Linked DNA regions of Coturnix japonica. The protein of the gene in region 2 purifies or fractionates together with the protein of the main gene of each other region. This does not show direct contact. Links are inferred from orthologs where the notes say so. Each region holds a gene or a part of one and is shown on either strand. Other genes may lie near its edges.

Region 1 (4,563 bases), on a different chromosome or scaffold from region 2:
GAAAGTACTATTTTCCTAACATCGCATACCTTTATTTTTACAGCTCCTTCTTACTCCAACGAGCTTTCCTGTGACCTTCATTTCCACAGACCAGTGTGCCTGATGGAACAAAGACAGCGCTCCTGCATCTTACAACTTTGCACACAAACAGCCAAGGCCCCAGGGCGTGTCTGCAGTGCCCCAAGGTTCTACATCAGCATGGGGCACTTCTGAGCAGTACTGGGATACTCACTTTCCTGCTGACTCGCAGGCATACATCTGTCCATATCCAAACTCATCATTTTCTGCCATGAGCAAATCTAACTTCACAACGTCTGAAGGTTTAGAGTAGTCATTTCTATTCCTTTTTCTTCCACTGCCATTCCTCCCTACCTTACATTGCCCTGCCCAGCACACATCCACAGAACATATACGATTTTCTACATGGTCCTCAAGTAGAAGCAAAGAAATTGGTGGAATGGAGCCTCACCTTCATCCACATGCAAATCCACCACAACAAACCCCTTTGTGCTAGAAGTCAGTCAAACTGTTTGGTAGCTTCCCTTCCTCAGTACAGAGCTCTTTATCTAATTTTAACTAATGACTTCCAAAATAGCTCTTCTGGGTTTTGCCTCAAAAATCAGCCTTTCAATTCATCTGATTTCCTTTTGTATTATCCATGCAAAATAGAAGACATAATTACCAACGAATTTCCAAGATCAATAAGAACAAGTGAGGCAAAATTTTCTATGAACATGGCAATGTGCAACTCAAAAACACAGTAAGGGAGCAGCAGGGAAGGCATCTAACTCAGCAGATAACGAATTATATCACAGGTGATCAGTCTCAAGAAGAAAGTGGTTTCAAAGTATCACATTGAGCTGTGTACTCTTCTGTTAATAGTTTTGCCAAATTATTTAAGGATTATCCTAATTTGTGCTGGTATAAAACTTGATTTTAGAAAACAATCAGAATTTCAGAAATCCTTCCAAGAGAAGATGCAGCAAATTCATGATGCCGGTTCTGCAGGCATGAACTAATTCCACACAGATCACAAGTTCTTTTTCTGCTGATGTGCAGAGTCTTTGCTTCAGGCTGCGCGTTGCCTGTCACTAAAAGGGCTACAAGGCCTTCCCACACACCATTAGCACGTGTGCAGAGGAGGTGTAAGGTTTAAGACGAACCCTAGAACTGACAAGAAGGTAAAGCCAGACCTCTCCATGCTCACACGTATCTGTTTGTCCTTCAGAGGAACTCCTCAGAGCAGGAAAACATGCAGCAGAGTTCAGAAGCACTCAAAGAACAGCAGCCCTCAGACATTCCCTCTTTCCATTGCCAGCCCAAAGAAAACAGTAAGATCTCAGTCACACATCAACTGTTTAGCAAAGAGGTTCTCGGGCATATGAGCAGTGTGTGCCTACAAGAGACGCCTTTTGACCAATGGCTCCCCCAAAAAAGAAAGAACACACAAGGACTGGAGTCTGATACAAAGGCCTGACAGACATTTCAGGAACCACAAGCCAGTTCTGCACTTTGGGGCCACAGCTCGGCCCTTCTGAGCACTTTGCCTGCCCTCCCTTCAAACTATACTATGGATGGTATCATTTAAAGTGAAGTTACAGCTGTGGATCAGTGCTGTATGTGAGTAGCTGGGCTCCCACTCATCAGTTATCAAAGAAACACTTTGAAGGATAGCACCATTAACTACTTACAGTGTAAGAAATAAAAGGCTTTTTCCAGCACTGTCTCTGCTTCCCAGCAACGCTCCCCTGGAGCCGCGCGGCTGCAGGCCCAGGGGCCGGGGCAGCACTGCGGGCACGGCCCGGTAACGTGCTCAGAGCGGCACCGAGAGCCGAAGGGAGAACGGAACCCGCAGCGGGTGCGTTCGGACGGCGCAGAACCGGCTCCTGGGCCGATCCAGGCGCTTCCTTGCATTCAGCCCGGCTTTCCCTCAGTCCGCCGGCCACTCACCTGCAGCGCCGGGGCCGCGTGCGGAGACCGCCCGAGCGGAGCGGCCACCGCCGGGGGCGGCTCGGACGGATGGCGGCAGCCCCCAGCGGCGCCCGGCCCCGCCCGACCCACGGCTCGTGCTGCGGCTCCGGGGCTGCAGCTCCGCACGGACGGACGGGCCGCCCCGCAACGCGGCTCCGGGCCGGGCCCAGCGGCGGCTGCAGCTCGAGGGGCTGAAGGGACGGGCCGCCGGCAGGGGAAGGCGGCAGCGGCGGCCGAGGGACACGCACGGGGCTGACGCCCGGCCCGGCCCGCCGCGTCCCCGGGGGCGGCACAGCACGGTACGGTACAGCACGGCACGGCACGGCACGGGACCGAGGCACGACACAGCACGGTACGGTTCGGTTCGGTACGGCACAGCTCGGCACGGCCCCGCGGGGCACTCACCGCGATCCCGGCGAGGCTGCGTCCCTCCGCATCACTTCCGGGCCAGCAGTCAGCTGGCGCCGTGACGTCACGCGGCGCGACCGGCGCAGCACGAACCGGGAGGGCACAGGGCGGGGAAGAACGGGAGCAGCGGGGCGGGGAGAGGCACGAAAGGACACGGCACGGGACCGAGGCACGGCACGGCACGGCACGGCACGGTGCGGGGCTGAGAGCGCGGCCTGGAGGGAGCCTGTGCCCGGAGGTGCCGCGGGCGCTGCGGGCGGGAGGTCGGCGCTGGTTCCGCCGCTGCGGGTAAGGCCGGCCCGGGCGGCAGGGGCAGATCGCACCGTACACACAACAGCGGCATTTCGGGCCTCGTTTCTGACGCCGGCTCTTGGTGCGGGCTCAGCGGGCAGACGGCGCCACAACGACCGGGGCGCTCAGGACCCCCCTCGCTCACAGTCAGCACCTCGGAATCATCGCACGGCCAACGAGCTGCTCGGCACCTGGCACCGGTACCGCAGTCCACCCACCATCACCCACCATCACCCACCATCACCCACCATCACCCACCATCACCCACCACCACCCACCAGTGCTGTCATCGTGTGCGTGATTCCAGGTCTGGACACACAGCACAGACGGGGCAGCGCTGTTACAACACAGCGGAGACTCCTCCGAGTTTCGGTGACTCGCCCAACGCTGCGTGTTGCAAAACAGCAGTGACAGAAAGCACGGCCGGTCCTGAGCTGGTTCTCATTCAGCAGAGCACTGCATCGAGTGCTTGACTTGCAGCAGGAGCTCGGGCTGCTTGCATGGGGCAGATTTAAGTCTCAGTGCCAATACTTTGCTGGCTGGGTCTTCTGGTTTCAGCAGCTATTTCAGTTCATTCTTTAGGTGGTGGAGATGCTCTTAAGCATTGAATTGTGTTTAAAAGCAGTACACGTGGTGGTCGTTCACACAAACTGGGGCTCTTGTGGGGTTGGTCTGTTTCAGATGACAGCAGTCACACGACAAGAGGTGCTGGGCCTTTACCGCAAGATATTCCGGATAGCCAAGAAATGGCAGTCGGCATCAGGACAGGTGGAACAAACTGCTGCAGAGAGGGAGTACATTATAAAAGAAGCCAAAACGTTGTTCCGAAAAAACAAAGATGTGAGTGAGCGTCATTGCAGGTTTGAATTTCTGACCCCTTTCACTGTGCTTTGCTCACCCCCAGTGGGTGGATGCCAAGGTATGGAAATAAGAAATGATTTCCCAAAATTCCTTCCCCATAAATGCCAGTACAAACACATTCTAAGGCATATTTGAGTTACAGCTTATTATTTCAGGGGTCAAAATCTGTAAGAAAATTCAAACCCTCTGAGGTCTCCATAAACTCCTGTGGAAGGCCAGGCACGTCACCTCGAAGAGCACTCTCTGCTCTCACAATTCTGATAGCCTCTGGGCGCTGCTACTCAGAGCCATAGAGCTCAGCAGTGCAGATGTGAAAAACACCATCATTGTATCCTTGGAACTGCAAAAGGAAGGGAAAAAAAAGCTTGAATCTTGAAATGCTGATTTTTGTACTTGTGCAAAATATTTATTTTTAGCTCTCTGTTATCTTAGGTGACAGATCCGAAGCTGATTAAGCAGTGCATAGAAGAATGTGAGGCAAGAATAGAAATTGGACTTCACTACAACATCCCCTACCCGAGACCCGTGAGTATGTCTGTTCCCCACAGGTGCACCTTATTAGCTCCCATCTGACACTCAAATCATAGATCCATTCTACTGTCGTTGTGCCACACATCTCACCTCTGCTCAGGTGCTCTGCTAAATCAGAGCCAGGTGAGCTCTGAAAAAATCATCAGCACGCTGCTTTAAGACTTCAGCTTGGGACCTTAACAGGATTTCTGTGTCTTGCTGTTCTGGAATACTGCTTACAGGCATATTTCAACAATGTTATCGTCACAATCTGATTTCAGATTGCAGACCAGAATTAACAAAACCTCAAGTATGCAGGGTTTTCTTAAACCTGATGTTTAAGGCTGCAGAGTCGCTCCACTAATTGCTCTTCAGAGAGTTCTTTGCACAGAAATCTAATAACCTGGCTTCAGACAGCATGGTTGCCCTCTCCAATGAGTGAACGAGTGATTGAAACTCAATAAAATTGTCTGTATATGCTTCTTTTTTTTTTTTTTTTTTTTCTTTGTAGCATCTTTATTT
Region 2 (3,809 bases):
GACATCATAGCTAAGCCAAGTACTATCAAATGCATCCATCTGTAATTCAGAAAGGACAATGCCAATATGCAACCCAATCTACTAGACTGGAATACTGCAGAAGAGCAAGACATGCCTTTGGATATAATTTATTTTCCTCACCACTATAAGACAACAATAATTATTAGAATACTTCCTCATTTCTGTATTTATTAGCAGCACTGGCACAGCAGAGTTTATGACATCCAAACATAATCCCACTGCTTAACAGTTAAGGTATAACATTACATTACAGAAACAATTTCAGTTCAAATCTTGCAAAACTATTGTATACCAAGGAGACTACTAGATCTTAAGATAACTCAAAATAAATGCCTGAGAATTACTTACCTCCTAACAAAGGATTCAAATGCTTGAATGCAATACTCCCGTAGTTCATCATCGTCTACATTACAAAACTTTACAACCAAAGGAATTATTTTCTCAAGATATTCACCTGACAAGAGAATATTAGCAAAGTAATTACTCTCATCTAAAGAACCTTCCCCGTAACAGATAATTTATATATTTTTCTTACCTATTCTATGACCTGCTTGCCTACTGATAGCAGCAATACACTGTATATAGGTCCTAGTTGTTGACATGGAATCATTTTTAGACAGCTCTGTCAACAGATGTTCAATGAGGTCAACAAAAACCATATTGCCACAACTCATAACCAGGTGACCAAGAGCAATGATGGTTCTTTTCCTCACAGCAAGTCTGGGGCTAGTCAGCTGGGGGAGCAGACAGGTCAGAATTGAAGGATGGAAGTTAACAAGCAGTCCTCCTTGCCTTAAAACAGACAAAACACAAACTCAAACCAATTGAATCTAGATAACTTTGTTCATATATTCTACCAGAATTTCTTAAAATATTCCCAAAACACCACAGAGATTCCAATTAAGTTTTTAAAGTTTTGGAACTTTAAAAAACAAGAAACAAGTTTAAAATACACCTTCAAAGCAATAAACATTGAAAAGTAACTTAAAACTACAGTTACCAGAAAAAGAAACAAATTATCAGTCTTCTCAATTAACTTATCTTTAATACATCCCATTATCTGGTTTGAACTAAGGTTTCATTTACACTTAACATCTTGCCATGTTACTTCATTTAAAGTAAATTTTATTTAATATTTTGAAAATTAGGAAGTTAAAGGAGTATTTACTGGCATTCATCAGCATTTTGGAAGAAGGATGTTTACCTGCTCAGCATATCAGCCATGATATCTAGTGCCTCCAATTGAACAGACACATCTTCCTGCTTGGCTATAGCACTAGTGAGACGCCCTGTGATCTTTTTGCAAACATTAGCTGCTAATGCAGAACCTGAAAATACAATAAGACCTCAGCATTTCCATAATAAGAAAATACAGTTATTAACACAAGAGGTCGTGCCTGTAACTATGGGAAGCAACTAGCATTTAACATGAATCAGCTTTCCCACCCAATAAAACAAGTTTGAACAGCAAGTTTCTTTGCTCATGTAAAGTATTATGCTCTGCATTAGAGCTGAAAGACTACCTATATACCCAAAAACATTCTGAGTAGGAGGGTTCAGTTTTATAAGTTGTACGTAACAAAAAAGATACTGCTTTTGGCAGGTCAAGTAATGGAAAGCAAAGGCCAAAATAAGCTTAGAGCAATAAATGGAAGGACTACAAACAAAAATAAAGTAACTAAAAGAAGCACAGAAGTAGATGGTGACTCTTGACAAAAAAAACAAAACAAGGTACAGCCACTTCACACAAGGAGCTATTTAAGTCTACTTGAGAGGCTGCTAAAATAAACATTATACGTGCTTTAAAATTCAAGTTAAAACGTCTTTGCTACACCTGCACAGTTTTCCCCAACATACACGGAAGGTTTTTTGTTGTTTTCTTTAAAGTCACATTTTTGGAATGTAGATGTGAAATTAATGCCATTCTAATCTACATTTTAAATATTTATTTTTAAGTTTATGCATCTTATTACTACCTGATTAACACGTGATTATTTATTTGTGGACTTTCAGTAAAGGATGTCAAAGTCCGAGCATGCCTGTATTGTTTGTTTTTATTTAAGCAACTTCAGTCTCTAAAAGCTGCATTTTCAAAGCCCTCTTAATCAGCTTTCTCTTCTCATTCATACCCTACATACAATATCTGAAATCAACTTGAGTAAAAAGGTAATAATACTAACTGAAGAGCTGTTCAACATTAGCATCTCTTCTGGAGTGGACCGTCTTCATTTAAAACTACAATTCAGCATTTCAGTAACTTAACAGCAACTTGTTAGAAACATTAGGTACATTCCAAAACACTTATCTAAACTGAGGTAAGAAACTGAATTGTTAAAGAAAAATATGCAAATTTTAATTTAATTTATGAGTGTTCTATCAACCAAAAAGCAAGAAGAGGTTTTGTTATGAGTACAGCCCAGAAATGTTCCACCAGATGATTATTAAAATAGAAGATTTTATGCTCAATTTGTTACTCCAGCGTTCCTGTAACACAAGATTTTTCTCCTGAAATGTCGCATCAGTGTTGGAAACTTAAGTTTTTTAAACCAGCAGGATTCCAAAGTACCGCCACAGAACTAAAAGAACGTCTTGAATACAAAACACCTTACCACTGGAAGCTGGGGGGAGTTCTCCAATCACAGTTTTAAGGCCAATGCTTGAAATGTCACGTAACTGTTCTTTATCTGAAAGCATGTTTGTACAGAGTGTATCTACAATGGTCTCCACTTGATACTCCTTCACTTTGCTCACCAACGGGCCGAGGCTGTATAAAGAGAAGAAAGGTAATACATTTGCAATGATAAATAAAAACATCCAAATCCTTCATTTTTATTTCTGTATCTTATATGAAGTCACAAAGTTAAGATTGGTTTTAGTAGCAACACAAAGCAAATGTTTTACACCTGACAGCTCTTAGCTGGTCAGGCTGATAACCTACCTCCTTAGATCTAGTGACAAAATACAGATTTAGTGCATCTGTTTGTTTGGTTTTTTTTAGTCTAGTGATGGAAACAGTTTTGTATGAGTGCTGTGCTTCACCATTCCAAAACCTGAGCCCCTCTTACTTCATCACACTTAATACCAAGGCTTACAAAACTACCTAGCCAAAGACATCAGTCTATGTACTACAAAGTTCAGACAAGTAAGCAAACCTCTTTACTACCACAACTTCATTCTTTATTCTACAAAACACTTGGGTTCTTTTTGACATGTTCATTCTACGCCATAAAATGCCTTAATAGAATACAGCAGTGAAATATAAAACAGAAACATGGCAAGTCTTCATTCAGAGACCCTTATAAACACAGCACTTGGGGGAAAGAGTGAAAATGTCACCGTAAGGTTAATGTTCAGCCATCTCAAATATTTCAAGGATGATGACAATTTTGTTTCCTTTATCGTACGCTTCCCTTTGTTCAAAACACTGAAGCTGCAGAAAGTTGCAGTGAAATCTACTTCATTGCTAAGAAATACAGTACCCTTCATCATCTTCCTAACCCTACTGCCAACTTTCAGTGCCTCTCCCTTGTAAACACCCTGTTCCAGACAGGAAGTTATGCAAAAAATCAGTGCCTTATTCTGCCTCTATTTCGTTCTAACACTAGCAAGCAAGTCTTCCACTTCCTTCTTGAGGCTCTAGGAAAGACACAAGAGCAGGACTGTGGTTTTATTGAGCTGTGTAGAAAAGTACACACACCTTCTCTCTCCTTTTCCCTCCACATTTGCTTACTCAGTTCTAACTTTTCATTTAATTATTTATTTTACAACACCAGCCTTCAGACAAACTG

The links.
Region 1: the proteins of CAND1 (region 2) and DCUN1D3 purify together in Homo sapiens (affinity purification with western blotting; 3 studies listed by BioGRID, with this or other methods). This does not show direct contact. The link is inferred for Coturnix japonica from reciprocal best matches to the Homo sapiens genes CAND1 and DCUN1D3.

Annotation. Positions count from the first base shown.
Region 1 is NC_029529.1:12,709,012-12,713,574, forward strand, and holds the start of DCUN1D3 (DCN1-like protein 3), read right to left. Parts: upstream 3,055-4,563; 5' UTR 2,949-3,054; exon of another isoform or gene 2,674-2,948; intron 2,668-2,673; exon of another isoform or gene 2,547-2,667; intron 2,464-2,546; exon of another isoform or gene 2,377-2,463; intron 1,943-2,376; exon of another isoform or gene 1,692-1,942; intron 1-1,691. Other genes in the region: LYRM1 (LYR motif-containing protein 1), read left to right, coding at 3,262-3,510, 3,964-4,056. UniProt on the Homo sapiens protein: Contributes to the neddylation of all cullins by transferring NEDD8 from N-terminally acetylated NEDD8-conjugating E2s enzyme to different cullin C-terminal domain-RBX complexes and may play a role in the cell cycle progression by regulating the SCF ubiquitin E3 ligase complex, after UV damage.
Region 2 is NC_029516.1:31,596,399-31,600,207, reverse strand, and holds part of CAND1 (cullin-associated NEDD8-dissociated protein 1), read right to left. Parts: intron 2,786-3,809; coding exon 2,631-2,785; intron 1,350-2,630; coding exon 1,226-1,349; intron 814-1,225; coding exon 557-813; intron 476-556; coding exon 370-475; intron 1-369. UniProt on the Homo sapiens protein: Key assembly factor of SCF (SKP1-CUL1-F-box protein) E3 ubiquitin ligase complexes that promotes the exchange of the substrate-recognition F-box subunit in SCF complexes, thereby playing a key role in the cellular repertoire of SCF complexes.